Linked DNA regions of Sus scrofa. The protein of the gene in region 1 purifies or fractionates together with the protein of each later gene. This does not show direct contact. Links are inferred from orthologs where the notes say so. Each region holds a gene or a part of one and is shown in the gene's direction. Other genes may lie near its edges.

Region 1 (4,114 bases):
GCAACGCCAGATCTGAGCTGTGTCTGTGACCAACACCACCGCTCACGGCAGCGCCGGATCCTTAACCCACTGAGCAAAGCCAGGGATCAAACCCGCAACCTCATGATTCCTAGTTGGATTCATTTCCGCTGCGCCACAATGGGAACTCTGAGAATTACGGTTTATTGAATGTTTGCTCTTCACGAAATAACATTTTTCACATGCGCACAATGTAGCTTAATTATGCTACTCAAAAGGCAATGATAAAACATAAAAAAAAAAAAAAAAAAACAGGGAGTTCCCCATCGTGGTACAGTGGAAACGAATCGGACTAGGAACCATGGAGTTTCAGGTTTGATCCCTGGCCTCGCTCAGTGGGTTAAGGATCTGGTGTTGCTATGGCTGTGGTGTAGGCTGGCAGCTGTAGCTCTGATTGGACTCCTGGCCTGGGAACCTCCATATGCCGTGGGTGTGGTCCTAAAAAGGACAAAAAGACAATAAATAAATAAATACATAGATAGGAGTTCTTTCTGTGGTGCAGCGGATTAGTGGTATGGCTTGTCTCTGTAGAGGCGCTGGTTCAGCATTGCTGCATCTGTGGCATAGGTCGCAGCTCCAGCCTGGATTCAGTCCCTGGCCCAGGAACTTCCACGTGCAGCTGAGAAAGAAAAAAAAAATTAACCGCTAATTCAGCTTGCATCACAGGCACTGTGGACCAAAATGGGCTTGGAGTTTAGTGACAGGTTTCTAGGTCTGGTCAGTCACCTGGGGGCCACAGAGACTCCGGAGGTAGAGGCCCTTGAATTAGGTCCAGGTCTTGGACCAACCCTTTGCTATCTCTGTGCACTTCAAGGACTTGATCGGCAGTATTTGGGGAGACCCAATGAGTTACCGATGAGCTCACACCAACTTCCCGCCCAGGGCGGAGGTGAGAAGGACTGCGTAGCCCTTAAAAGAGAAAAACAACTTCCACAGCACTTCCTGTCCCATATTCTCTGGAAAGGGGTGGCCAACTTCTCATAGGCAGAACTAGACTCGACCTCGCCCCTCGAAGCCCCGCCCACCAAGAGGCTCCGCCCCAGAGATGGGCGTTCCGTCCGAGTCCCGCCCCGTGACTGAGGCCCCGCCCCCCGGGCCGCTTGGGCCTCTGCGCCCGGCGTCCGGCGGAGGCGCTAGAGCGCTGGGGCAGCGGACGGGGCGGGGCGGGGCGGGGCGACGAGGGGCGGAGCGGGCGGCCGAGGAGGCGGGGCGGCGGGCCGGGGCGGGCCGGGCCGGGCCGGGCGGAAGGAGAGCCAGGCCGGAAGGAGGCAGCGGGAGGGTGGGAGGCAGGAGCGGGCCCGGAGCTGCTGGGCCAGAGCGGCGGCGCCGCCATGTCCGACAGCGAGAAGCTCAACCTGGACTCTATCATCGGGCGCCTGCTGGAAGGTTGGCCGGGGCGGGGGAGGTGGGCGCCCGCCGCGCCCTGGCCCCCTTCCCGGCCCGGAAGTGGCGCGCGGGTGGACCTGCCCCTCCCAGGGCCAGCTTAGACTGGGCGGGGACGGGCCGCGAGGTCCCGTGGCCGTGGCTCTCCCCGCCAAATCGCGGCGCGCCTGGAGGTCTGGGGTTGTTCCCCGCGCTGGAACAGGGCCGGGGCGCATGGGTCGGCCTGGGCTCTTGGGGTGAGGGAGAAACCCGAGAAGCCTAGCCACCCGGGAAGGGGTCCTGCGCTATCAGGCTTTGGGTGGTAGGGCCCCTGCGCACAGCAGTCCCCTCCCAAGTGCCTTGAGGGTAGTTGGGGTCCGGTCCCAGGAGGCTCAGCAGCAACAGCTGCCTCTGGGCAAGGAGGGGCCCAGGCGCCCCAGAAGTGCTCATGAGGGCCTGTGTGTCACCCACCCTCTCCTAGTCTCAGGGACCAGGGTCCTGACGCTCCTTCCACCCTCAGTGCAGGGCTCGCGGCCTGGAAAGAATGTACAGCTGACAGAGAACGAGATCCGTGGTCTGTGCCTCAAATCCCGGGAGATTTTCCTGAGCCAGCCCATCCTTCTGGAGCTGGAGGCACCCCTCAAGATCTGCGGTGAGCCCCCTGCCCAGCCCCTTTGCTTCCTGGAAGTGGTTTTGGCCCCTCTAAAGTCCCTGGATCCCAGCCTTATCCCTGGGTTCAGGTTTAGACTGAACCTAGACCTGACCTGGTTCCCTGGGTCCCAGGTGACATCCACGGCCAGTACTATGACCTTCTGCGGCTGTTCGAGTACGGCGGCTTCCCTCCAGAGAGCAACTACCTGTTCCTGGGGGACTACGTGGACCGGGGCAAGCAGTCTTTGGAGACCATCTGCCTGCTGCTGGCCTATAAGATCAAGTACCCGGAGAACTTCTTCCTGCTCCGTGGGAACCACGAGTGTGCCAGCATCAACCGCATCTATGGCTTCTACGATGAGTGTAAGTGCCATGGGTGTCTGGGGCTGCCCGGGTCCTAAAGGGCTCTCCTGGCCATTCAGAGGGACCCTCGAGTTGGCCTGGCAGCTGGGGTATCAGTGTCTGACAAATACCTGCTAGACTGAGCTCCGTGAAGGCAGGGCCGGGCCAGGCCAGTTCAGGTCTCTCCACCTGCCCTCCTGGCATGGGTCCTGGCACTCAGGAGGGATCTGGTGAATGGGTGCTGGCTGCAGGGCTGCCCGTATTCTAATAAGGGCCTTGCCCAGTGACACTCCCCTCCAGCGCATCCGTTACTTAAGCACTTAGGCTGCCTGTCTGGACTGGACTCTGTTTGCCAGAAGCAGAGATAAACAGACCTGGTCTTGGCCTGGCCCTGCTCATGTGCTGCAGGTGGGTGCCAACCCTGAGGTTGTTCCAGAACTGGAATGCTGGGGTTCCTGGAAAGCTGGTAGGCAGTGGGATGGGTTTCCCTTCCTTGCCCTCTCTGCTTCCCTCCCAGCTGTGTCTGAACAGCACATGATGTGCCCTGCAAGGCCCAGGGACCCCGGCTGAAGGTGGGGCAGCCAGGCCTTCTCACGAGCCACCTCCTTCCTCTGGGCAGGCAAGAGACGCTACAACATCAAGCTGTGGAAAACCTTCACTGACTGCTTCAACTGCCTGCCTATCGCTGCCATTGTGGACGAGAAGATCTTTTGCTGCCACGGAGGTGAGAGCAGCTCTGGGGCCCGCGCTGGAGGAGTGCTTGGGAGGGACGAGCCTGGCCCCATCCCGGGGGGCTTGGGGACAAAGGCATCAGCTGCAACAGTTCTCCCCCGAGTCGTTTCTTCCATGAAGTCCCCCCGCACCCTCATGTCAGGCTGTGCTGTCAGGTCGTGGCCACAGCTTCACACGTGGAGTTTGTCTCCTTTCTCCAAGGAGCCCTGTGCTCCTTGAAGAAACAGGGGCTACGAGAGGCAGAAGGTGGCGAGGTCTGCCTGTCATGGCTCCCAGGAGACCACGGAGGGGTGGGGACAGAGGCTGATCGGCAAGGCTTCCCGGAGGAGGCAGGGGCCTCGTTTTGAGGCTCAAGGAAGTGATCTACCTCCTGTGCTCCCCAGGCCTGTCCCCCGACCTGCAGTCCATGGAGCAGATTCGGCGTATCATGCGGCCCACAGACGTGCCTGACCAGGGCTTACTGTGTGACCTGCTGTGGTCTGACCCCGACAAGGACGTGCAGGGCTGGGGCGAGAATGACCGCGGCGTCTCCTTTACCTTTGGAGCGGAGGTGGTGGCCAAGTTCCTGCACAAGCACGACTTGGATCTCATCTGCCGGGCACACCAGGTGGGCTGGCGGCGCTGGGCTGGGCTGGGCTGGGGCGGGGCAGCCGGCACCTGCTGAACTAACTGCCCCCACCCTCACCCAGGTGGTAGAAGATGGCTACGAGTTCTTTGCCAAGAGGCAGCTGGTGACACTCTTCTCAGCTCCTAACTACTGCGGCGAGTTTGACAACGCAGGCGCCATGATGAGCGTGGACGAGACGCTCATGTGCTCCTTCCAGGTGGGCAGGGGGCCGGAAGGGGCCGGAAGGGGCCGGGGGCCTTTGGCCTGGCCCCATGAACCTGACTGGCTTGTTTCTTGTAGATCCTCAAGCCCGCCGACAAGAACAAGGGGAAATATGGGCAGTTCAGTGGCCTGAATCCTGGAGGCCGGCCCATCACCCCACCCCGCAACTCCGCCAAAGCC
Region 2 (3,500 bases), on another chromosome or scaffold:
AACATAGCATCCATTCTGCAGCCCATGGAGCAAGGAGTAATTTCAACTTTTAAGCAATACATCTTATAAGGCTGTAGCTGCCATAGGTAGTGATTCCTCTGATGGATCTGGACAAAGTCAATTGAAAACCTTCTGGAAAGGATTCTAGATGCTGTTAAGAACATTCATGATTCATGGAAGGAGGTCAAAATATCAACATAAACAGGAGTTCGGAAGAAGTTACTTCTAACCCTCATGAATGAGTTTGAGAGGTTCAGGACTTTAGTGGGGGAAGTAACTACAGTTGTGGAAATAACAAGAGAGCTAGAATTAGAATTGGAGCCTAAAGATGTGACGGAATTGCTGACATCTCATGATAGAACATTAATAAGAAAGTGGTTCTGGGAGTTCCCATTGTAGCCCAGCAGGTTAAGAACCCAGCATTGTCCCTGTGAGAATGTGGGTTCGATTCCTGGCCTCGCTCAGTGTATTAAATATTTGATATTGCCGTAGCTGTGGTGTAGGCCACAGCTGCAGCTCCGATTAGACCTCTTGCCTGGAAACTTATATATGCCACAGGAGCAGCTGTAAAAACAAAAAAAGAAAGTGGTTTCTTGAGATAGAATCTACTCCTGGTGAAGATGCTGTGGGATTGATGAAATGACAGTGAAGGATTTAGATAGAATATTACATAAATTTAGTTGATAAAACAGGGCTAGGGAGGACTGCCTCCAATTTCGAAAGAAGTTCTAATGTGGGTAAAATGCTGCCTGTGTGAGAGTCAGTCAAAATAGCAAACTTCACTATTGCCTTACTTTAAGAAAATTGCTGCAGCCACCCAAGCCTTTAGCAACCACTGCCCTGATCAGTCAGCAGCCATTAACATCAAGGCAAGACCCTCCACCAGCAAAGATATTATGACTTGCTGAAGGTTCAGATAATGGTTAGCATTGTTTAGCCGTACAGTGTTTTTTTAATTAAGGTACGTATTTTTTTTTTTCAGATGTAATGTTGTTGCATGCTTAACAGACTACAGTATAGTGTAAACATAACTGTTACATGCACTGAGAAACTAAAGACTTCCTGTGACTTACTTTATTGCAGTTTGCTTCCTTGTGGTGGTCTGAAACCCAACTTGCAGTATCTCCAAGGTGCCTGAACTTTTATATTATTTTATATATTTATTTTGCCTTTTCTAGGGCCGCTCCCTCGGCATATGGAGGTTCCCAGGCTAGGGGTCTAATCGGAGCTGTAGCCTCTGGCCTATGTTAGGGCTGCAGCAACTCGGGATCCGAGCCGAGTCTGCCACCTACACCACAGCTCACAGCAACGTGGGATCCTTAACCCACTGAGCAAGGCCAGGGATTGAACCCACAACCTCATGGTTCCTAGTCGGATTCGTTAACCACTGTGCCATGACAGGAACTCCCCTGCCTGAACTTTTAAATTGTATAAAAGTGACTAAAGGAAAAGCATGATAATTTTTATCAGACAATGTTTTAATTGCCTTTTTTATTGTGTGCCTATTTAATTCCTGTAATAGAGCCATAAATATCATGGATTATAAATAGCTGCTTACATAAATAATGTATCCTCTCTCCCTCTCTTCTCTCAAGATTGAAAAGGCCAAACCCATTAAATGTGGAACATTTGGTGCAACATCTTTACAGCAGAGATATTTAGCTACTGGGGATTTTGCTGGAAACCTTCATATATGGTAAGATTATTTCATCAGTGTTGAGACATGAGATAAGCAATTTCTTTGATAGTCTAGTTATTCTTCCTCTGAAAGAATTCTAATTTTAAAATGTTTCAAATTTACCAGATTTTAAACTTTAACTGTTTATAAGAATGACAATTACTTTTCAATATCTATTTTTAGATTTCATGTTTAAAATCCATTTTAAGACACTAGCATATTTATCTTTAGATATTTCAAATGATGTTATTAGTATTTATTTCCATCCATGCTATTTAATGCTAGCATTTAATACCCATATTTGTAAATAAAGGGCTATTCCTCTTCAGCATGAAGGATGCAGTATATAAAAATGCTCACATGGGAGTTCCCATCATGGCACAGCAGAAATGAATCTGACTAGGAACCATGAGGACACAGGTTCGATCCCTGGCCTCACTCAGTGGGTTAAGGATCCGGTGTTGTCGTGAGCTATGGTGTAAGTGGCAGCTGCAGCTCTGATTTGACCCCTGGCCTGGGAACCTCCATATGCCGTGGGTGCGGCCCTAAAAAAGGCAAAAAAAAAAAAAAAAAAAAGAAGCTAAAAAAGCTCAAATGTAACACTGAAAAATTAGATATTGTTTACATTTTAAGATGATATTTGGCATTACAGAATGATACACTGTATTTTTGTATGTTTTAATTTTTTCCTCCAATTCATTAAATTTTTTTTCCTTTTTTTTATGTTTTAGCTAACATCTGAGCACAGCTTTTTAGGAACACATCTGTTGAGTAAATCAAGATAAACCTGTTTTGAATGAGCAAAATCACAATTGTGCCAGTTGCTTTTAATTTTCATGTTTTACATAGAGTTATTTCCTCATTTTTAAATGAGTTGAATGAACTGAAATTCCTCTCATTACTTTTGAAGAAAATCTCTTAAATCATTTAAAGTATGCAGTAATTTTTTGGAAGAACTATCTTCCCTACCTTATGTTTTCTATTGTGACCTTTCTTGATTCTAACTTAGAATCTATTACTTTGTAATTAAACTACTTTGACATATTTATCTGTCTTAAAGTCATAGTATAACAAGAATGGAACGATTTTCCTTCCCTATGCTTTAACTACTTAAAAGTTAAGTTAGCATTTATTAGGATGCATTCGTTTTTACCTGTTTGGTCATATACTTTCAAAGAACTTGGGAGAGAGAGCAGTCTGAGTGGTTTGGTTTGTTTTGTTTTGTTTTTGGGTGTGCCCGTGGCATGTGGCAGTTCCTGGACCAGGGATCAAACTCGCACCACAGCAGTGACCCAGGCCACTGCAGGGATGCTGGATTCTTAACTCCGCTGAACCACAGTGGAACTCCTGGGTGTTATTTATTTATTTATTTATTTATTTTGGTTTTTTGGCTTTTCTGGGGCCGCTCCCGCAGCACATGGAGGTTCCCAGGTCAGAGGTCGAATCGAAGCTGTAGCTGCCGGCCTACCCCAGAGGTCAGAGGTTGAATCGAAGCTGTAGCTGCCGGCCTACCCCAGAGCCACAGCAAGGTGGGATCCGAGCCACCTCCGCAACCCACACTACAGCCCACGGCAACTCCGGATCCTCAACCCACTGAGCAAGGGCAGGGACTGAACCCACAACCTCATGGTTCCTAGTTGGAATTCGCTAACCACTGCACCACAACGGGAACTCCCTGGGTGTTATTTTTTAAAATAAATATATTTTAGCACAAGAATATGCAGCAGATATAACTATTGACTCTCTTGCTAATAGAGCTTCCTAGGATAGTGCAGGTATTACTGTCTTACTTTCATTGGTAAGTCATAAGCTCACATGAAAA
Region 3 (3,047 bases), on another chromosome or scaffold:
CCAGGAGCTGGGGAGGCCCACATTACGGTCCACTTACCCAGGTTCCTCAGCCAGCAGCAGCTCAGAACGAGCAGCTTTGACGCTTATTTCCTCTTCCTCAGCTTCAGCAGCATCAAGCCGGCTTTGGGCTTTGGACTTGGAACGGGGCAGCTACAATCATTGGTGGGAGAGGAATGGGCGAGTATGGGGGTTACAGGAGAGCCACCTGACCGCGCCTCCATCCAGCTCACCCAGACACTCCCTGCCTGCAACTCCTCCCCACTCTCCGACCGGTTCTCACCTTTTTGGATTTGTCGATGCGACGGAACTTTCGAACTACCTCCACAGGGACAGGGGCGGGGCCTGCAAACGGGTCCTGGGCCTGGGACAGGAATGGGGCAATTAGTAAACAGGCTCGGGTTGATCCCAACTCTCGTACCCTCAAAGCACGAGGAGACTTGCCTCGCCACCGTATAAGGTCCCAGGCTCACCCCAGACAAGCTCCGCTGAGGGCCTGGACTCCTCCATTCTTGGGATTTCTTTGGGACCTGGGGCTTCTTGGGGAACCGAGACTTCTTTTGGATGGGAGCGTTCTTTGGCTTCTGAGGGCGGGCCTCTCGATTCTTCTTCTGTTTACGAGGGGGACCCGGAGAGGCTCCGGCAGCTGTCGGAGCGGTCTCTTCCTCCCAGTATCGCCGAGGTTTCTGCTGGCAGATCAGGACCCCTGATATTCCGCTGCCTCCTCCCCGCCCCTCCAACCCCTCAGCCAAAAACTTTCCTTTCAACCCAAGGAGGTCTCTACCTTTCTCTTGGCCTGAAGTCTGTCCTTCTTGGGCGGGACATCACTGCCAGGCTTGGGGGCTGTCTCCATCAAGCCCACCCGAACCGCGACACACGTGCAAACTCCTCTCAGCTGTCCCACAGTCGGATTGAAAACTCCCGGAAGTCTTCCGGCCCTCATCCAATCAGCTCCGCCCCAGGTTCGAAGCCCTCGAGGCGCCATCTTGGGTGAGGGCGCTCTCTCCAGTGAGGTGGGGGGCAGACCTTGGCCCCGCCCCCGTGAGGCAGTTTATGCTTGAGTAATGAAAGAGAGGTGGTCCGGAGCCAGGACTCAAGTTGACTGTGCAGTTCCTTTTTCCAGCTTCGTTTCCGCATGTTGCCTAGAACGTTCCGAGTCCAGCCTTTTAGAAAAACGCCACTCGTCTAACAAGTGAGAACTACAGTTCCCGGCATGCGTCAGACGAGAGCTTCCGGCGCCGTCTCTTCCCAGCATTCTCTGTTTACTTCCGGGTTCACCAACACTGAAAGAAGAACGTGAGTAGATAGAGCAGGCGTTCGGTTGAGGGCTCTGGGGTCTCTTTTCCCCCGCTGCCGCCTAGAGCAGGGGTGGAGTCGATATCTCGGACGGGGGGAGACTGCGGTGCCCCGAGGGGCTGCTTCTCAAGAGGGCTGTCATTTCCGCAGGCCGGAAAGGGGAGCTCGGGTACCTTCCAGAGTGTGCAACCCAGCGCCCCTCTCCCTCTTCCCGCGGAGTTTCGTCCTCGCCATGGCTGAGCTGATCCAGAAGAAGCTACAGGGAGAAGTGGAGAAATATCAACAGCTACAGAAGGGTAGGGGAACGGGGTTGTCCCGGTTCTCTCACTACCCGAAGCCTTACAAGATGCGTCCTGCCCCTCTCCATCCCACCCGTGCCCCTTCCCCACCTCCATGGTGTTCCCGTCCTTGTCGCTCCATTTCTCACCAGGACGGTAGGGATTGGGTGGCATATCTGATGTCTTTAATCAAGTCTTCCCTCCCACCCGCCAGACTTGAGTAAGTCCATGTCAGGGAGGCAGAAACTAGAAGCACAACTAACAGAAAATAATATCGTGAAGGAGGTGAGAGCACAGGATTTGTGGGGCGAGGAGGGAACTTGTCCTGGCAATGTTTCTGATCACAGATGTCCTGCCCCTCCATCAGGAACTGGCCCTGCTGGATGGATCCAACGTGGTCTTTAAACTTCTGGGTCCCGTGCTGGTCAAACAGGAGCTGGGAGAGGCTCGAGCCACAGTGGGGAAAAGGCTGGACTACATCACAGCTGAAATGTGAGTCTTTGTTCCAGCACCTTCTGACAGACATGCCACGGTGGAAGACGTGTTGAGAAAGCCTTGTAGAGTAGCTTCCAGAGCTGTTCCCACCACCACCACCACCCAGTTCCTCCAGCCGCTTTCCTTTTAACCCCTCTTCTCCTCCCTCCCTTGGATCTCACGTTCCCCACCAATCTCCTTCCTGCCTTCAGCATCCTCAGCAGTAAGTCTCATTAAGACCTCACCGTTTTTGGTGTTCTGTCTTCCTCAGTAAGCGATACGAATCCCAACTCCGGGAACTGGAGCGCCAGTCAGAGCAACAGAGGGAGACCCTGGCTCAGCTGCAGCAGGAGTTCCAGCGGGCCCAGGCAGCCAAGGCAGGGGCTCCTGGGAAGGCCTGACCCTGTGGAGGGGGGAGGGAGGGGGTGGGAATGAGGCAGCTCAAGGGTCTCTACTGTAGTGAATAAAATGTGAAAACACCTGGCTGTTTTCTCACCAGCCACTTCTGTTGTAATCATCTCCACCTTTTCCCCTGGTCCCTTCTCCCCTTATATGTTTATCGCTTCTGTGACTCCCTCAGGTCCAGACTCTTGCAACTGGGCACTCTGAGGCCGAGTAAGCCTTCTTTATTGAGACTGAAATATGAAATATCTCAAATCTCATTTTTCCTGTATATGCAGCCCTTAGGTCTCCATTATCCTGGTTGGAAACATGAGAAGGGCATTTGCAATGCAGTGGTTTTGGGTAAAGTGAGTTTAATTGAACTCAGAATTTTCTAAGCTGTGACCCCAGAATGAAACATGGGGACCCTCCCTGCTGATTTCCCATCATCTTCAAAATAGCCCTGGCATCCCTCTAATTCGTTTTAGTCTTTTTTTCTTAGAATTTGCTTGAATGTAGCTTAAACTGATTTAAAATCTCAACACCTAACGCTCTGATATCATACGTCCTCCATGTTTATACGTTGTCCACAATGTTGTTCTTCCGTTTCTTTGTCCTCAA
Region 4 (3,500 bases), about 27 Mb from region 1:
TAAAATTCTGATATAACCTTTAATCAGCAATGTGTGCATGTGTGTGTGTGCCTATCACTGTTGTTTCAACATTAGTTCTTTTTATTTCAAGGTCTATAATGAACAGATTCGTGACCTCTTAGTAAATTCAGGGCCACTTGCTGTCCGGGAAGATGCCCAAAAAGGGGTAGTCGTTCAAGGGTTGACTTTACATCAGGTATGTTTATAAACTTCTTTTTTGCTGTTCAGATAGCAAGTTATTTAGCCATTTAGATATTTTAAAATAAGCGTAGAATTAAAATAATCAGGGCATATCTTCAGTCTTATTTTCCTTTGAAATAGTTGAATGGGCTTTTCTTTTTAAAATCCACTTGAACATTTAATATAGTATATTATTCTATTTAATATATTTACAGTTTATCTCCTCAGAGAGATTAATCTTTTGTTTTTCATATAGCACCAAAGTACTAAGCAAATGATACACAGTCAATACTTAATGGAATTTAATTATAAGAAGTATTTTCTTACCCTTTATTTTATCCTTAAAAGGCTTCTTATTTGTTGATAATTTATTTAAAAATTTAAAGATCAATAGCTCATTTATTTATTTTTCTTTTACTTTAAAACTTCTTTAGCCTAAATCCTCAGAGGAAATTTTGCAGTTGTTGGATAATGGAAACAGAAACAGGACACAGCATCCCACTGATATGAATGCTACATCTTCTCGTTCTCATGCTGTTTTCCAGGTAACAGGTCACTAGACTATCACTCTTAAAATTGAATTTAAAATAAATGAAGCCATATGTTCGGATGATAATTTTCACAAATACAAAACAAAATCTCTTTATCTGTCAACTTTATTTCTCAGCACTTCCTTTACTTTGCAGCTTTGAGAACATTGTATCAAGAATATTTAGAAATGAGATTTTTGTAAGTCAGAAATGTAAAATTTTGCCATTGTGAAAGTAAAAGATAGTAAAGTGATTGTTAGAGGTTTTCTTTTCTATTTTTTAAAGTATCTTTCCAAAAGATAATCTTATATTCAGAACAAACTTTCTCTTTATAGATCTAGATTTATAGACAGTAAATTGAGGTGGGGGGGGATACTGATGCACTTTTTAAAGAAATTTCACCATGGTGACCATGTAAATAGTTGGATTCCTTAAGGAAATATGTGATTCAGTGATAAAGTGCTTTTTAGGAATACAGTTCTAGAAAAGGCTAAAGCATAGGTTAGTAGTTATTATTTATAGTTCCTGGTTCTGTTGAAATACAATTGATAATACAGCTTTATTCTGGATTATGCTATGTGAAACTCATAGCAAGAAATTGTTATAGTTTAAGGAATTGAAATCTGAGGCAATAAGTCATTCAGAAAATTTTCCCATAAAATTTTATTAATCAGTCCCACAGAATTTTATTAATCTTTTCTATTCTTACCACTGACTATTTATCAGTAATTTTGAGAAAAATGCTTATCTGGAACACAGAGATTTCCCCAAAATGTCGTAGACCCTACAGTATAAGAGTTACTAGAATGTAAGTGGCCGTCATTTTGACCAGAGCCAGGAGTTATTCGCCCTCTTATACACCTACAGGAATCCTTTTCATTTTCAAATTTTTCTCAACTTTGGTAATTACTTCTGGTACTCTTAGATATTAGCCAGTCAGGTTATACCTTGTTCAGTTTGTCTTTAAATGAAAATAATTGGTTTCCTGCTTTTTAAAAAATAAAGTGTATGTTTCCCTTTTAATTTTGTGAAATCTAATCCTTATTTTCCCTAATCTTCCATAATTTCAAAAAGATTTATTTGAGACAACAAGATAAAACAGCAAGTATCAATCAAAATGTCCGAATTGCCAAGATGTCGCTCATTGATCTAGCAGGGTCTGAGAGAGCCAGTTCTACTAGTGCTAAAGGGACCCGGTTTATAGAAGGCACGAATATTAATCGATCACTTTTAGCTCTTGGGAATGTTATCAATGCCTTAGCAGATACAAAGGTAGGTAATATATGTTTATTTGTTTAAATATTTTGAAATATTGAAATACGTATAATTCCTAGACAGATATTATGTAAGATAATTTTGTTTTAAATGTCTTTTACAAGAGTTCCTGCTGTGACACAGTGGGTTAAGAATGAGTGCGTCAGCTTGGGTAACTGCTGAGACATGGGTTCAATCCCCAGCCCACCACAGTGGGTTAAAGATCTGATGGTGCCGCAGCTGCAGTGTAAGTCACAGCTGGGGCTTGGATTCAGTCCCTGGCCCAGGAACCTCCATATGCCATGGGTGCAGCCATAGAATTTTTTTTTTCTTTTGTCTTTTTTAGGGCCTCTGGATCCAAGCAGCATCTGCGACCTACACCACAGATCACTGCAACGCCGGATCCTTAACCCACTGAGAAAGGCCAGGGATTGAACCTGCATCCTCATGGATACTAGTTGGGTTCATGCCACTGTGCCATGATGGGAACTCCTAGAATTTTTTTTTTTAAAGGTCTCTTACAAATCAGATTTTAAGAATATAGCAATAATGTTTATATACAGAGCATTGACCTCAGAGAGCCTAGTATATAAATAAAGCTATGGAGTTTTTATGTTTGTTTTATTTTAACTTCTAGTTTTAGGATCAGAATTTATTGAATGAAAAGTATTGAATACCATATTGTTAATATTTTATGGTACTTTCTCACCTTTTATTTTGAATTTGATTTTTAAATGACCATTTAATGATCACTATACAGCAAACATGATGAATTGGTATGAAAACAAAAAACACATTTTAGAAAAATTTAATTCTGGTCTGGTTAGTATTTTATATACATATTATAAAATTAAATATTAAAGAGTGTTGATTTTTCTTAGGAAGACAAGTTTAAGATATAAAATGTAATTAAATCACGTAATAAGATAATGTTTGCTAGATGCCTTTGGGGCATTTAAAAATATTTTACTTCTGGCATGGCAGAAACAAATCCAACTAGGAACCATGAGGTTGTGGGTTTGATCCCTAGCCTCGCTCAGTAGGTTAAGGATCTGGCATTGCCGTGAGCTGTGGTGTAGGTCACAGACGCAGCTCAGATCCTGCGTTGGTATGGCTATGGCATAGGCCAGCAGCCATAGCTCTGACTGGACCTGTAGCCTGGGACCCTCCAGATGCCGAGGGTGTGGCCCTAAAAAGCAAAAAAATTTACTTCTACTATATGCCAGTTTGCTTACTAGAATATAGCATATTTGAAAACTCCTGTGTTTATAAAAATGACTTCCTTTTTTAAAAGTTAAAATATGATCATTTAATTTATGTTCAAACCAGACTCAAAAACTTTAGGAAAATTACTGTTAAATTCTTTAAAATGCTGCATTTGGGTTTAGTATGAAGTATGTTAAAATTTTTTGGAAAGTCTTTCTTAAAAGGGAAATTGCTGAAATCACATGAAGATTACAAAAGCAAAATGTATTTTGTATTCTAAGTTAAAATCTGAAACATGTAAACAGACAGCATGGCATAGAGACAGATTTC
Region 5 (3,500 bases), on another chromosome or scaffold:
TCATGGTTCCTAGTCGGATTCGTAAACCACTGTGCCACGACGGGAACTCCCAGCGCCCTTCTTTACTAGCTGGTTGGCCTTGGGCGAGTTGCGCAGTGTCCCCGTCCTCATCTGTAAAATGGGCCCATAGAGAGATGGCGTCCGCGCCTAGGGTCGTAACCTGCCCCCTTAGGCCGCTCTTCTCCTGGCGGGTGCTTTGCAGGCTGTGCTCTGCCACCCCCACCACGGGATGCCTGCAGGGCTGAGCTGGGTTTGGAAAAGGCCCTAAGGGTACAGTCTTGGCCAGTGTCCAGTGGTGGCTTCCCTTATAGGGTCCTGAGACCACGCTCATTTGCTCCGTCCACCCAGTGAGGCCGGCCAGCAAACGGTTGCACCATCTACCCCGGCCACGTGCAGTTCCTGCCTGCCTTTGCTGCAGGAATCAGCCCTCCTTACAGAGCAGGCGGTGCTGGGAGCGCCGGGTGCAGACAGGACCTGAGGCCAGAGGTGCCTGGGCCAGCCGCCTTCCTGGGCTCTGTGTGTGTGGATGTCGCCCCCTGCTGGCCTGTGCGGGGAGGGCAGCCTTCTGCCATAGGGCGCACACCTGTATGTGGCCTGACCCCCCAGAACCCAGTTTGGTTCCCCGACATGACACACCGGCCTGGGCACCAGAGATCAGGTGGCCTGGGCCAGAGTCAGGAAGACAGCAGCCCAGGTCTCTGTGCACACCCGGGACACAGGGACCTGAGGGGCGGAGTGGACCGGGCCTGCCCCCAGAGCCTTGCCCAAGCCAGCTCTCCCGGACCCCAGGGCTGCAGGCCTCTGTGTGGAGCCAGAGCAGGCTGAGCCTGCGAGGGCCCAGGAGCAGGGCCAGGGCACCCTGGCTGGTGAGAAGAGTGCAGAGGTTGGCCGCTGGCAGCAAAAGATGCCAGGCACCGAGGGTCCCTGTGCAGGGTGGCCCAGCTGGGCAGGCTCCCAGGGCAGTGGCCTCATTGGCCTGATCACTGGAGGGGCCTTCAGGGCCCACTGACTGAGAAGGAAACTGAGACTCAGGGCTGCAAAGGGGCCCAAGGATGCTCCCCCTGCTCATGTACCCCCTGGGCCGCTCCTGGTGTTTTCTCTCCGCTTCCAGCACCACCGGCTGGTTGCCCTCAGGCCACTCCTGGCATCTCGCGTCCTGCTGGCCCCGGGGCTCCATCTAGCTCCTCAGGCGTGAGCTCTTTCATGTGGCCTTGGTCCCTTCTTGACCTTGCTCAGGGGCCGGTTCCGCTGCAGCCCCAGCCGAAAGCCCTGCCTCCTGCCCTGTGGCCACCTGGGCCAGTGCCCCTTGGGGAGGAGCTGGGTGGACACTTGGCCTCTGACACAGGTGGCAGGGAGCCAGGAAGCTGGATCCCTTCCTCTCCCGGCCCCCGTCTCCTGGCCCCCAGGCTGATGTGGGAGCCGGGCACCTAGTTGCCAGTTAGACTGCAGGATGAGGCAGCAGTCCCCAGACAGGGAGGCTCAGGGCCGGAAGCCCCAGGAATGCCCGGGGTGGAGCCTAGGGGACGGGGAGGGGGCTTAGGAGTCAGGCCCAGGCCGTCTGTATCATCCTAGGTGAGCTGCAGAGGAGGTGACAGACCTTCCAAGCAGGTGAGAGACCTTCCACGTGTGCCAGGCTGTGCAGAGGAGCCTGCGGGATGGGGTGCTGCCCCTCGGCCCCCATGGTCTCTGGCCTGGGCCCCGGCCCCACGGACCCAAGGATCCCTCCCAGCTGCTGGTCGCACCTGTGGCTGCCACCTGGGAGCCAGCCAGGGTGAGCTAAGACATGGTTCTGCCCACAGGGCCCCGCCTGCCCTGTTCCCGAGCTGTCCTCGCCGCCCTCCGCCGGCTACAGCGCCGCAGGACAGAAGCCCGAGGCTGTGGTGCACGCGATGAAGGTGAGGGCCAGGCCCTGCCCGGTTCCCGCTCCCTCCGGGGCCCCCAGGTCCCTGGCACTTCAGGACCCTGTGACCTAGGACCCCGCTTGCCCTCTCTGCAGGCAGCTGGGGGACTTTGGTCCAGTGGCCGTGGCTGCCTGGAGTGTGGGGTGGGGGTTGGGAGGCGGGGTGGTGGCTGCGTCACCCCTGCAGCCAGGGAGCTGAGGCCTGGGGCAGGTGGGGAGGACAGGTGCTCCTGGAGTGGGGGTGGGGCAGGATGGCCGGGATGGAAGCTCGGGTCTCCCAGGCCCAGCTCTCCCTGCCCCCCTCCTGCTCAGGGCCTTGGGGTGCACCCTGGGGCCTGTCCACTGAGGTGCCCCCATCCCTACCCCCCTAGCAGGGACACAGGCACGTGGTTCCCCGCAGGCAGCCCGCTCGCTGTGCCTGGCAGGTGGCAACTGGACACCCCCCCCCCATGTGCATGTGCCAGCCTGTCCTGAGTCCCAAGTGGGGTCCCGGGTTTGGAGTGCAACAGCGGTCCCCACCCCGCCTGTCCACCTGCTCTGCCCCCAGTGCCAATGTGGGCCGCCGCTTCCCTTGCGTGGTGTCTACGGTGTCACTGGGCCGAGGCGACAGGACAACCGGGCCCTCAGGCCTCTCCAGCCCCCGATCCCAGGGCCCCGCGGCTAGGCGTCCACCACTGCCCCTTGTGGTGGGGGAAGCTGGGGCCTTGCCCGAGGCCTGCCTGTGACCTCTGCCCCTGACCCTGGGGCCGCCCCCTGCAGGTCCTGGAGGTACATGAGAACCTGGACCGGCAGCTCCAGGACAGCTGCGAGGAGGACCTGAGCGAGAAGGAGAAGGCCATTGTCCGCGAGATGTGCAACGTGAGGCGCCTCCTGGGGCCGGGGCCGGGGTGACCGGGCGAGTCCCAGTGTGGCCACAACCCCCCTGGGAGGTGACCCGGGGGGCTGGGAGCCCGGGCCTCGCTCCTCCCCTCCCCCACTTCCCCTCCCCCCTTTCCTCCCTGCTCCCTGGTCTTGTTTGCCCTGTGTATCCTGACCCTTGGTCCCTGTCCCCTGTGCTCTGCTGGCTCCTGGCACACAGGTGGTGCCCAGACTGCGGTGCAGGCGGAACCCTCAGCTCTGCGGGACCCTCCTGGCCGTGGCTGCCTTGGCCTTTGGCAGCTGGGCTGCCTCTGGGTCTCTGGGGAGGTGGCGCCTGGATCTGGGACCCACCTGGCCAGTGCGCCTTGCCTCGTGGGACCCTTGTGGGAGTCAGCAGGGGAGGTGGTTCACGGGGCTGCCCCCTGGGGCGGGGTATCCCCCCGCTGCTGCCTCCTGGGTCTGTAGGGCCCACTGGACAGCTTCGGGCCCAAGTCTGCACCCTCGAGGTGCCAGCTCAGTCGCCTTGGGGTGGGAGGCACGGTGCGGAGGGCGCACGTGCAAAGACCCGGTCTGAGGGTCTCCAGGTGTCATGTGGCCTCAGTGTCCCCTCCTGGCCCCTGGCTCTGGGGACACCCTGGGCGGGTGCAGGGTGGACCCTCCATTCCCAGCTTGCCCCTCCCCACAGGTGGTCTGGAGAAAACTGGGGGATGCCGCCAGCTCCAAGCCCTCCATCCGGCAGCAC
Region 6 (3,500 bases), on another chromosome or scaffold:
CTGGCCCGATGCCTATGGGTATGCCACCAATGTCCAAACCACCACCAGTGCAGCAGACTGTTGATTATGGCCATGGCCGAGGTGAGTCAAGGTGGCAGATTTCTATCTGGGATTCTAAAGGAATTGTTAGCTTAAGCTTTGGCTTCCTTAAGCGTTACTGTTAACAGTGTTTTATCCCTGATTTTATCAGACATATCCACTAATAAAGTTGAGCAGATACCCTATGGAGAAAGAATAACTCTGCGTCCAGAGCCACTACCTGAAAGATCAACTTTTGAAACAGGTTAGAGTCCCAAAGAGATCAGTATTTCTAAACCTATTAGGGCCTAATTGTCATATGACTTTTCCTTTTGGTAGTATTGTCTGCGCCTCCCTTTAGTATAGCTGCAAGATTCATAAATTGGATTTAGGGCAGCAGTTTATACTAGTTCTAAATTTAGATTTGTACTTTTCTGCTTTTATTTCAGAAAAAAAGCTATATAGTTCTTATTTTATACTAATCGTTTTTATAGAGCATGCGGGCCAACGTGATCGCTATGATAGAGACAGAGATCGTGAGCCTTATTTTGATCGTCAAAGTAATGTCATGACAGATCATCGGGATTTCAAAAGGGATCGGGAGACACATAGAGATCGAGACCGGGATCGTGGTGTTATTGACTATGACCGGGATCGATTTGACAGAGAACGCCGACCGCGAGATGATAGGTATGCTATGAAAAATACCTTTGCTGGGTGTGCAAATTACCATGTACTACAGTTCAGCAAAAGTCAGTGTATCTGCAGGGAATTTAGTAAATGATAGATTCTTTTTATACGTGTGTGTATAATTTGGAGAGGGAAGAGTAGTTCTATACTAATTTTCAGGAAACTAGAAAACTTGAGTTTTGTGAGCTTGAAATCCAGAGAATTAAATGGGAGATGGAGATAGCCAGAAAGGAAAGGAAAGAGTATTGTCAGCATAAAGTTGTAGTCATTGCTTAATTAGTAGACAATTTATTTTTGCAGTTGTGTGAGCTTTTTGGATTTGTATATGAAAGGCAGATCTAAACGGGAAAGAAAAATAAAAATGTAAATATTGACTATGTATAGTAACTACATGTAGAGAAAACTGGACAGGTAATGCTATTGCATTATAAGAGATATCCGTGTATTTTTTATTAACCAAAGCACTTCTGTTAAACCTTCTAGGACTCAGTCGTATCGAGACAAAAAAGAACATTCCTCATCCAGAAGAGGGGGATTTGATAGGCCATCCTATGATCGGAAGTCTGACCGACCAGCCTATGAAGGACCGTCCATGTTTGGAGGTAGATTGGTGCCTTGTTAACTATAAGGATGCTGAAAACTGTGAACAACAGGAGATACTTTCCATTTTGCCTGTGGATTTAAACTTTCAGAGTAAAATGCACTTAAAGATTTCTCAGAGTTGGCAACATTATCACCAAAAATAGCCATGTAATTGATGAAATAAAACATAAACTGCTTTTTTAAATATTATTAAAGACCTTTTGGAAGATAGAAACAAAATCACTTATAAACCTACTACATAGCTACCATACCACAATTATTATAATTTTGTATATTTCCTGTCATTCTCTCTTCACATACATATTAATGAAGTTATAACCAAAGTATAGTTTCTTTATCATCCCTGTTCCCTATTGGTATTGTACTATTACTTTTCTCCATATGGAAACCTATTATATTAATGACTATGATAGTCCATCAAGTGGATAAGATAAAAGACTTTTTTTTGTTGAGGTCGCTTTTAGTTTTTCATTGCTATAAATTACACTTAAACTATATATTTATACCTGTCTATATGAACAAGCTTTCCTAAGCTGGTGACTCATTCTCAAAACTGTAAAGCAGAAGTTACATACAGGTGGACTCTGAATCATACTTGGGACTATTTAAGAGGATATATCATTTTTCTATATTCTATTGTTTAACTTTTTTTCTTAACTTTTAATACAAATGAGGATGAATTCAATACTTTTCAGAATATTCTTTTTGTGTGAAATCATACCTAAATCTTTTCATTTTCTTGATTTCAGTAGATTTATGTTATCTTAAACTATCTTTAATTAAGGATAAAAGTAGCCCTCAAATCATCATAAATTATATTAGGAGGAGTAGAATGGGTTAAAATTTTAAATAGTTACTACATAAATAGTAATTGTTCAACTGCTGGAATCCCAGGAGAACGAAGAACTTACCCAGAGGAGCGAATGCCCCTGCCAGCTCCTTCACTAAGCCACCAGCCACCTCCAGCTCCACGGGTTGAGAAGAAACCTGAATCTAAGAATGTAGATGATATTTTGAAACCACCTGGCCGAGAGAGCAGACCTGAGAGAGTGAGTCCTGTGTAGTTGACTCGTTTACTTGCAAATCAGAAGCTGATAAGGAATTGTTTTAATATCCTAAACAGAATTTCTATACTTTTCTGTGACATAATAGTAATATCAGATTCAAGGCATTTTACCATCTCCAAGTCATCATAAAATCTCACATACTGCCTTCCCTATAGAATCTAAGAAATTAGAGCTTAATTGCTTGACAAAAAAAAAGAATGTTGAAAACTTCAGAAAATAATTCATTAGCAACTCGATTAATTAAACTTTGAAAAGGGGAAAAGAGGATTTGGTTTTATGGTATGTGAAAGTGAAAGAGTCAGAACTAGGGGATCTGATAAGTTTAGACTTATTTTTCCTAGTGATCTCCAAATGTATATTTTAAATTTAGCTTATATTGCAAATAACTAGATTCCATTTAAATGAACTAGTACTGGAGATTTCTATCAGATGTTTTGACTGTATGTATATAATGTCACTGTTAGATTAGTAGCTCCTCTAGCTTTCTGTGATGGCTCATGTATCTTTTTCTGTCCTTTTACTTTCTTTTTTTTTTTTTTTTTTTTGTCTTTTTGCCTTTTCTTGGGCTACTCCTGTGGCATATGGAGGTTCCCAGGCTAGGGATCTGATCAGAGCTGTAGCAACTAGCCTGTGCCATAGCCACAGCAATACCAGATCCAAGCCATGTCTGAGACCTAAACCACAGCTCATGGCAACACCGGATCCTTAACCCACTGAACAAGGCCAGGGATTGAACCTGCAACCTAATGGTTCCTAGTCGGATTCGTTAACCACTGAGCCATGACGGGAACTCCTGTCCTTTTGCTTTCAATCTATTTGTGTCTTTAAATCAAAAGTATGTTTTCTGGAGTTCCTTGACGGCTCAGCGGGCATTGTCACTGCTGTGGCTCAGGTTGCCGCTGTGGTGTGGGTTTGGTCCTTGGCCGGGGAACTTCTCCATGCCATGGGCACAGCCAAAAAAAGATTTTTTAAAATAATAATAAAGTATGTCTCCTATAGACAGCGTATGGTAGGATCATATTTTTAATACAGTCTGATAATTTCTACTTTTGAATTGGATTGTTTCATCCACTCCCATCTTATCATTGATATAGATAGCTTAATTTCATTCTTGAATTGTTC
Region 7 (4,187 bases), on another chromosome or scaffold:
CAGCTCACGGCAACGCCGGATCGTTAACCCACTGAGCAAGGCAGGGACCGAACCCGCAACCTCATGGTTCCTAGTCGGATTCGTTAACCACTGCGCCACGACGGAAACTCCAAGGACTCTCTTCTTCCAGGCTGGGCGCAGGGCAGCCGGGATCGACTTCGCCCGCATCCCCACCTTGGGCGGCTGGGGAGCAGCACGCAGGCCTCCCGGGCCTGGGCCAGAGCTGGCCTCACGCCGGACCTAGCTCGCGAACCCCCGGCCGCCGGCCCCGCCTCCCGGGCCCCCAAGACTATCACCCCCCGCTGCCGCCGCCGCCCCCCGCCGCCACCGACGTCGGCCCGCACCGCCCCCGCGCGCGGTGACTGGCTCGCGCCGGCCTCCAGCCCGGCTGTTGGAGGTTGGGGCGAAGCGGGCGGGAGGCCGCCCCGCCCCCGCCGCGGAGCCGCCGCCGCGCGCAGCCTCTTCCCCCCTCGCCGCCGGGGCGGTGGCGCTGTTGCCTCCGCGGCCTGTGAGGCAGTAACTCCCCTCCGCCCCAGCCCCCTTCCTCCTCCTTTCTCTCCGCTCCCTCCCTCCCCTCCCCTCCCCTCCCCTCCCCGCCCCTCGCAGTCTCTCGCTCGAGTGAATGTGGCGCGGCGGCGCGGGACGCAGTCTCGGCCCCTGCCGCGGCCCCGCGAGCTTGTGAGGAGACGAAGCCGCCGCCTGCCCCCACCCCCTGCGCTTCCCGGGGGAGCCACCGCCGCCAGGGAAGAAGAACGAGGAGGGGAGCGAGGGGACGGTGGCGGGAAAACAGGAGGGGGAGGAGAAGAGGGCTCGAGGGCAGGGAAGGAAGGCGGGGAGGGACGTACGGAAGGACGGACAGCCCGACGGCCGGCCGGGGGAGGGGGCCGCCATCGAGCCTGCCCGGCCCCTCGGCTCGGGCTCCGGGCGGCCGCGGCTGCGGCCGCGCGGGCGAAGGGCGCGGCAGGCGCTACCGAGACAATAACCCCGCCGCCCGGCTCCGGGGGTGGCGGCGAGGAGGCGGCGGCGGCCTAGCGCGGCAGAGGCTCTCCCAGCGCCCCGGTGGCATCTTTGCCCCCGCGGGCCAGGTTCGCCTGCCGTCGGATATCGGGGCGCGCGGGTCGCCCGGAGTCCCAGGCTCTCGGCTGACGCCCCCTGCCCTCCCCCGCCCGACGCGCGTGGAGCTGGTTTTCCGGGTTCCCCTGGACCGAGCTGGATCCTGCTGCTCGCCAAGGCAGGAAGTGAGTTTCGCACGGTAATTCCGGGCGGTGTCACGAGTGAAAAGTTTTTTTTTCGACGGAGATCCTAGTTGGGGCTGGGAAACTCCTGCAAAACTCGAGACCAGGAAGCCAGCCCGCTTCCCAACCCCCACCGGAGCCACCTACTCTTCCTACTGCGGGAGGCCACTCCACATCCGCTCTCACCGGAGAGAGAAATTCGGCTGGATCCGAAGTGACTAATGAAGGGGAGGAAATCATGTCAGGCGAAGCCTTGAAAAAGCTGTCCTGAGACACTGCCCGACCGAAAGGTAATTTTCACCCAAAGTGTCTGCGAGTCACAAAGCTCCCCGGCCAGGAAAGAGAGGAAACTTTAGTGTTTTCCACTTTTTCTCAAGTTGCCCTAAATTCTCCCTCTCTCCTGTCGGACGGGGTAGTGATTTAGGTGCAAAGCAGTAGAACTGATTTTATTCTCCTTTCTACCATCTGGACCCTGGTCATTTTAGAAGAGGTTGTAAGAATGCGGTGGGACGAAAAGTTTTAAGCAATTCCGAGGAAAGAATGCCTTTGTTCAGCAGAAGGTCCAGAAATCTTAGTTTCCCGGAACATATACAATGTATGTTTTTGATTTATTAAGTTGCTGAACCTGACAACTTTTGTTTTGGATGAAAGTTAGGTCACTGCGGCGAGCAATCGGCTGCTGTTGAGATGGCTGCCACAGTATTTGTTTATACTGTTACCGATTATTTTGCTTTTGCATTTAAATGTATATGGAGTTATTTAGTTCCAACTCTTATGACTGTGTTTCATTGGGTTTTATAAACAAAAAACTCTTTGCCGTTCTTAGTCGTTTTTTCAGGTGGGTAATATATATGTCTTCAGTAACTTGTTCTTTTCGGACATTTATAACTTTATAATACTTGTTTGGTGTTGTCTACAAGCTACTGTCTACAAGATTTTTCTTGTAACTGACCTAGTAGGGAGAAAAAGTGTTACGGCTAAAGAGTGATGATTAAAAAGCAAACATGAATGCCTGTAAGTGGTTTGATTTGTTAGGACTTCTGTGCAATTCGGAACTGAATGTATAGGAAAGGAAGTAAAACGCTTAAAACAGTGTTCATGGGCATCACAGTGATTGTGATAAATAGCTGTGCTTTTTGGTTAGCACATTATTTACATTTTTTTGTTGTTGTTGGCCCAAATGTTTTGACCGGGTCTGCCACCTAATAAGTGATGAGTATCTGCTGTGGGGGCAGGGATTAAGTGAAGCACGGTGACATTCCACCAGTCAGTTATAAATATAAACACTTCTGAACCAGTCGGTAGTCTTTATAGATCAAACTAGTTTTGGTTGCTGCAGACACAGACGGTTTCTTCTGTGGTGTTTTTAATGAGTGTCTTTTTAAGTTTGGTTCCCCCCCCCCCGTGCTTTTTTGGTAAAGGGAGGTAAAAGATAAACTCTGCTCTTGAATAAATGTCAAATAAACGTGGTATTTTGTTTGTAGATATATCTTAAATGTAAATTAATATTTATTTGCCCTTGCCACCACAAGAAAAATGGTTGGCTTTCTTTAGTTCCAAAAAGAGACAAGGTAGGTTTTAAACAGTAGGTTCAAATAATTTCACAACTTTTTCTTTGTTACTTCAAATTAAGTATGTTTCAAAAAGGGGGTCTTTTAACTATTACTATATATTGTTTTGATTTTTTTTTTTCTTGGAGCTTAGTCTCTGGAGCTCCTTTTTAAAAACAATTTTGTAGTTTTTTAAATTGTTGGTAAGATTTTGTGAACCATCAAGTAATTCCTATTAAGTGAAAGTAGCTTTATCAAATAATTTAAAGTATGTAAGTGATCTACTTTATGATTTTAGAACTTAAAATTAGGCAACGAAAGAGGTTATTCTTGGGCATCTGAAAGAGGGGAACAAAATAAATGGCATTGAACTTCGGTTTCCTTATATGGTTTATACTTGGCTTCAGAGCAACAAAGCCTTAATAGAGCAAGTCTTTTATAGAGAATTATCACTTTGCGAAAGTGTTCCTTTCTCTGTGTTAGGAAATTTTACTTGAAAGAAGTATTATAGTCCTCAAAAATACCTATTTAAATGCCTGTTGTTAGATATAGCTCTTGATTTTTTTTCTTGAGGGAGCATAGTATGTATAGATGCAGACAACATGTTTTAAAAGATGTTCACCTTTGTAGTTGTCTTTGATTCCTTTTTCCCCTCAACAAGGCAAAATTTACTTTGAGGTTTATTTATTTTATTAGTTTAGCACTGGATTAACTTAATGAATTTTAGGTTTTATACTGTTGTCAAACTGTAAATATTTTTCAAAGTTTTGTTTAAAATTTGACAGTGGTTTGAAAATAAGTTTAAAAAATGGTCATAAAAATATTTTAAAATGGCTTCAAATTTTGGATATTTTTCTTAGTATTCTGTGGGTTTTTTAGATTAAATTCACAAATCTGGAGTACTTCCAAGGTGTTTGTAGAAAATGCGCACTTGATGGCCCTGTTTGTTAAAGGTACTGGGAGTTTTCAAAAGTGATAAACTTAATCTTTCAACTAATTAATTCAGATATTATGAAGTTTCCCTACTGTTTGTGAACAAATTATTGCCAACTTTTCATGTATAAAAAGCTTACAGAGGTTCCAATATGGGAACCAATTTTTTATTGCTTGTTTTTTCTTCATGAAGCAATAACTACAGTTAGAGACATTTGATGTGTATCATTGGTAAATGTCTAAAACTCAGGTATTTTAGAGATTTTGGTAGTGAGCTCATGGCAGTAAACAGTACCTCACTTTAAGAGACAAGAATTTCAGAAAATTAAGTGCATATTTATGCATTTATTTTAAATTATTGCCTGTAGATAAATATGGTAGTGATTATGAAGTATTTGGGATTCTGTAGGTTTTAGTGATGTTAGATAGGAAAGTATTTTTTTTTTTTTTTTTTTGTAATTTCTAGTTG

What was found.
Region 2: the proteins of PPP1CA (region 1) and WDR92 purify together in Homo sapiens (affinity purification with mass spectrometry; 6 studies listed by BioGRID and IntAct, counting the BioPlex papers as one, with this or other methods). This does not show direct contact. The link is inferred for Sus scrofa from reciprocal best matches to the Homo sapiens genes PPP1CA and DNAAF10.
Region 3: the proteins of PPP1CA (region 1) and PFDN6 purify together in Homo sapiens (affinity purification with mass spectrometry; 3 studies listed by BioGRID and IntAct, with this or other methods). This does not show direct contact. The link is inferred for Sus scrofa from reciprocal best matches to the Homo sapiens genes PPP1CA and PFDN6.
Region 4: the proteins of PPP1CA (region 1) and KIF18A purify together in Homo sapiens (affinity purification with mass spectrometry; 3 studies listed by BioGRID and IntAct, counting the BioPlex papers as one, with this or other methods). This does not show direct contact. The link is inferred for Sus scrofa from reciprocal best matches to the Homo sapiens genes PPP1CA and KIF18A.
Region 5: the proteins of PPP1CA (region 1) and CCDC85C purify together in Homo sapiens (affinity purification with mass spectrometry; 4 studies listed by BioGRID and IntAct, counting the BioPlex papers as one, with this or other methods). This does not show direct contact. The link is inferred for Sus scrofa from reciprocal best matches to the Homo sapiens genes PPP1CA and CCDC85C.
Region 6: the proteins of PPP1CA (region 1) and YLPM1 purify together in Homo sapiens (affinity purification with mass spectrometry; 3 studies listed by BioGRID and IntAct, counting the BioPlex papers as one, with this or other methods). This does not show direct contact. The link is inferred for Sus scrofa from reciprocal best matches to the Homo sapiens genes PPP1CA and YLPM1.
Region 7: the proteins of PPP1CA (region 1) and ERBIN purify together in Homo sapiens (affinity purification with mass spectrometry; 3 studies listed by BioGRID and IntAct, counting the BioPlex papers as one, with this or other methods). This does not show direct contact. The link is inferred for Sus scrofa from reciprocal best matches to the Homo sapiens genes PPP1CA and ERBIN.

Annotation. Positions count from the first base shown.
Region 1 is NC_010444.4:5,118,888-5,123,001, forward strand, and holds the start of PPP1CA (serine/threonine-protein phosphatase PP1-alpha catalytic subunit), read left to right. Parts: upstream 1-1,314; 5' UTR 1,315-1,349; coding exon 1,350-1,404; intron 1,405-1,900; coding exon 1,901-2,032; intron 2,033-2,163; coding exon 2,164-2,394; intron 2,395-2,992; coding exon 2,993-3,097; intron 3,098-3,488; coding exon 3,489-3,712; intron 3,713-3,794; coding exon 3,795-3,929; intron 3,930-4,012; coding exon 4,013-4,114. UniProt on the Homo sapiens protein: Protein phosphatase that associates with over 200 regulatory proteins to form highly specific holoenzymes which dephosphorylate hundreds of biological targets.
Region 2 is NC_010445.4:74,091,633-74,095,132, forward strand, and holds part of WDR92 (WD repeat-containing protein 92), read left to right. Parts: intron 1-1,595; coding exon 1,596-1,696; intron 1,697-3,500. UniProt on the Homo sapiens protein: Key assembly factor specifically required for the stability of axonemal dynein heavy chains in cytoplasm.
Region 3 is NC_010449.5:29,652,399-29,655,445, forward strand, and holds PFDN6 (prefoldin subunit 6), read left to right. Parts: upstream 1-1,293; intron 1,294-1,300; exon of another isoform or gene 1,301-1,443; coding exon of another isoform or gene 1,444-1,525; coding exon 1,526-1,589; intron 1,590-1,785; coding exon 1,786-1,856; intron 1,857-1,938; coding exon 1,939-2,063; intron 2,064-2,316; coding exon 2,317-2,446; 3' UTR 2,447-2,547; downstream 2,548-3,047. Other genes in the region: WDR46 (WD repeat-containing protein 46), read right to left, coding at 38-150, 281-361, 471-686, 782-982. UniProt on the Homo sapiens protein: Binds specifically to cytosolic chaperonin (c-CPN) and transfers target proteins to it. Binds to nascent polypeptide chain and promotes folding in an environment in which there are many competing pathways for nonnative proteins.
Region 4 is NC_010444.4:32,261,073-32,264,572, forward strand, and holds part of KIF18A (kinesin-like protein KIF18A), read left to right. Parts: intron 1-91; coding exon 92-196; intron 197-614; coding exon 615-725; intron 726-1,784; coding exon 1,785-1,982; intron 1,983-3,500.
Region 5 is NC_010449.5:120,517,409-120,520,908, reverse strand, and holds part of CCDC85C (coiled-coil domain-containing protein 85C), read left to right. Parts: intron 1-1,799; coding exon 1,800-1,895; intron 1,896-2,659; coding exon 2,660-2,758; intron 2,759-3,443; coding exon 3,444-3,500. UniProt on the Homo sapiens protein: May play a role in cell-cell adhesion and epithelium development through its interaction with proteins of the beta-catenin family. May play an important role in cortical development, especially in the maintenance of radial glia.
Region 6 is NC_010449.5:98,017,629-98,021,128, forward strand, and holds part of YLPM1 (YLP motif-containing protein 1), read left to right. Parts: coding exon 1-81; intron 82-190; coding exon 191-283; intron 284-512; coding exon 513-708; intron 709-1,191; coding exon 1,192-1,310; intron 1,311-2,205; coding exon 2,206-2,360; intron 2,361-3,500. UniProt on the Homo sapiens protein: Plays a role in the reduction of telomerase activity during differentiation of embryonic stem cells by binding to the core promoter of TERT and controlling its down-regulation.
Region 7 is NC_010458.4:44,414,602-44,418,788, forward strand, and holds the start of ERBIN (erbin), read left to right. Parts: upstream 1-1,387; 5' UTR 1,388-1,525; intron 1,526-4,187. UniProt on the Homo sapiens protein: Acts as an adapter for the receptor ERBB2, in epithelia. By binding the unphosphorylated 'Tyr-1248' of receptor ERBB2, it may contribute to stabilize this unphosphorylated state.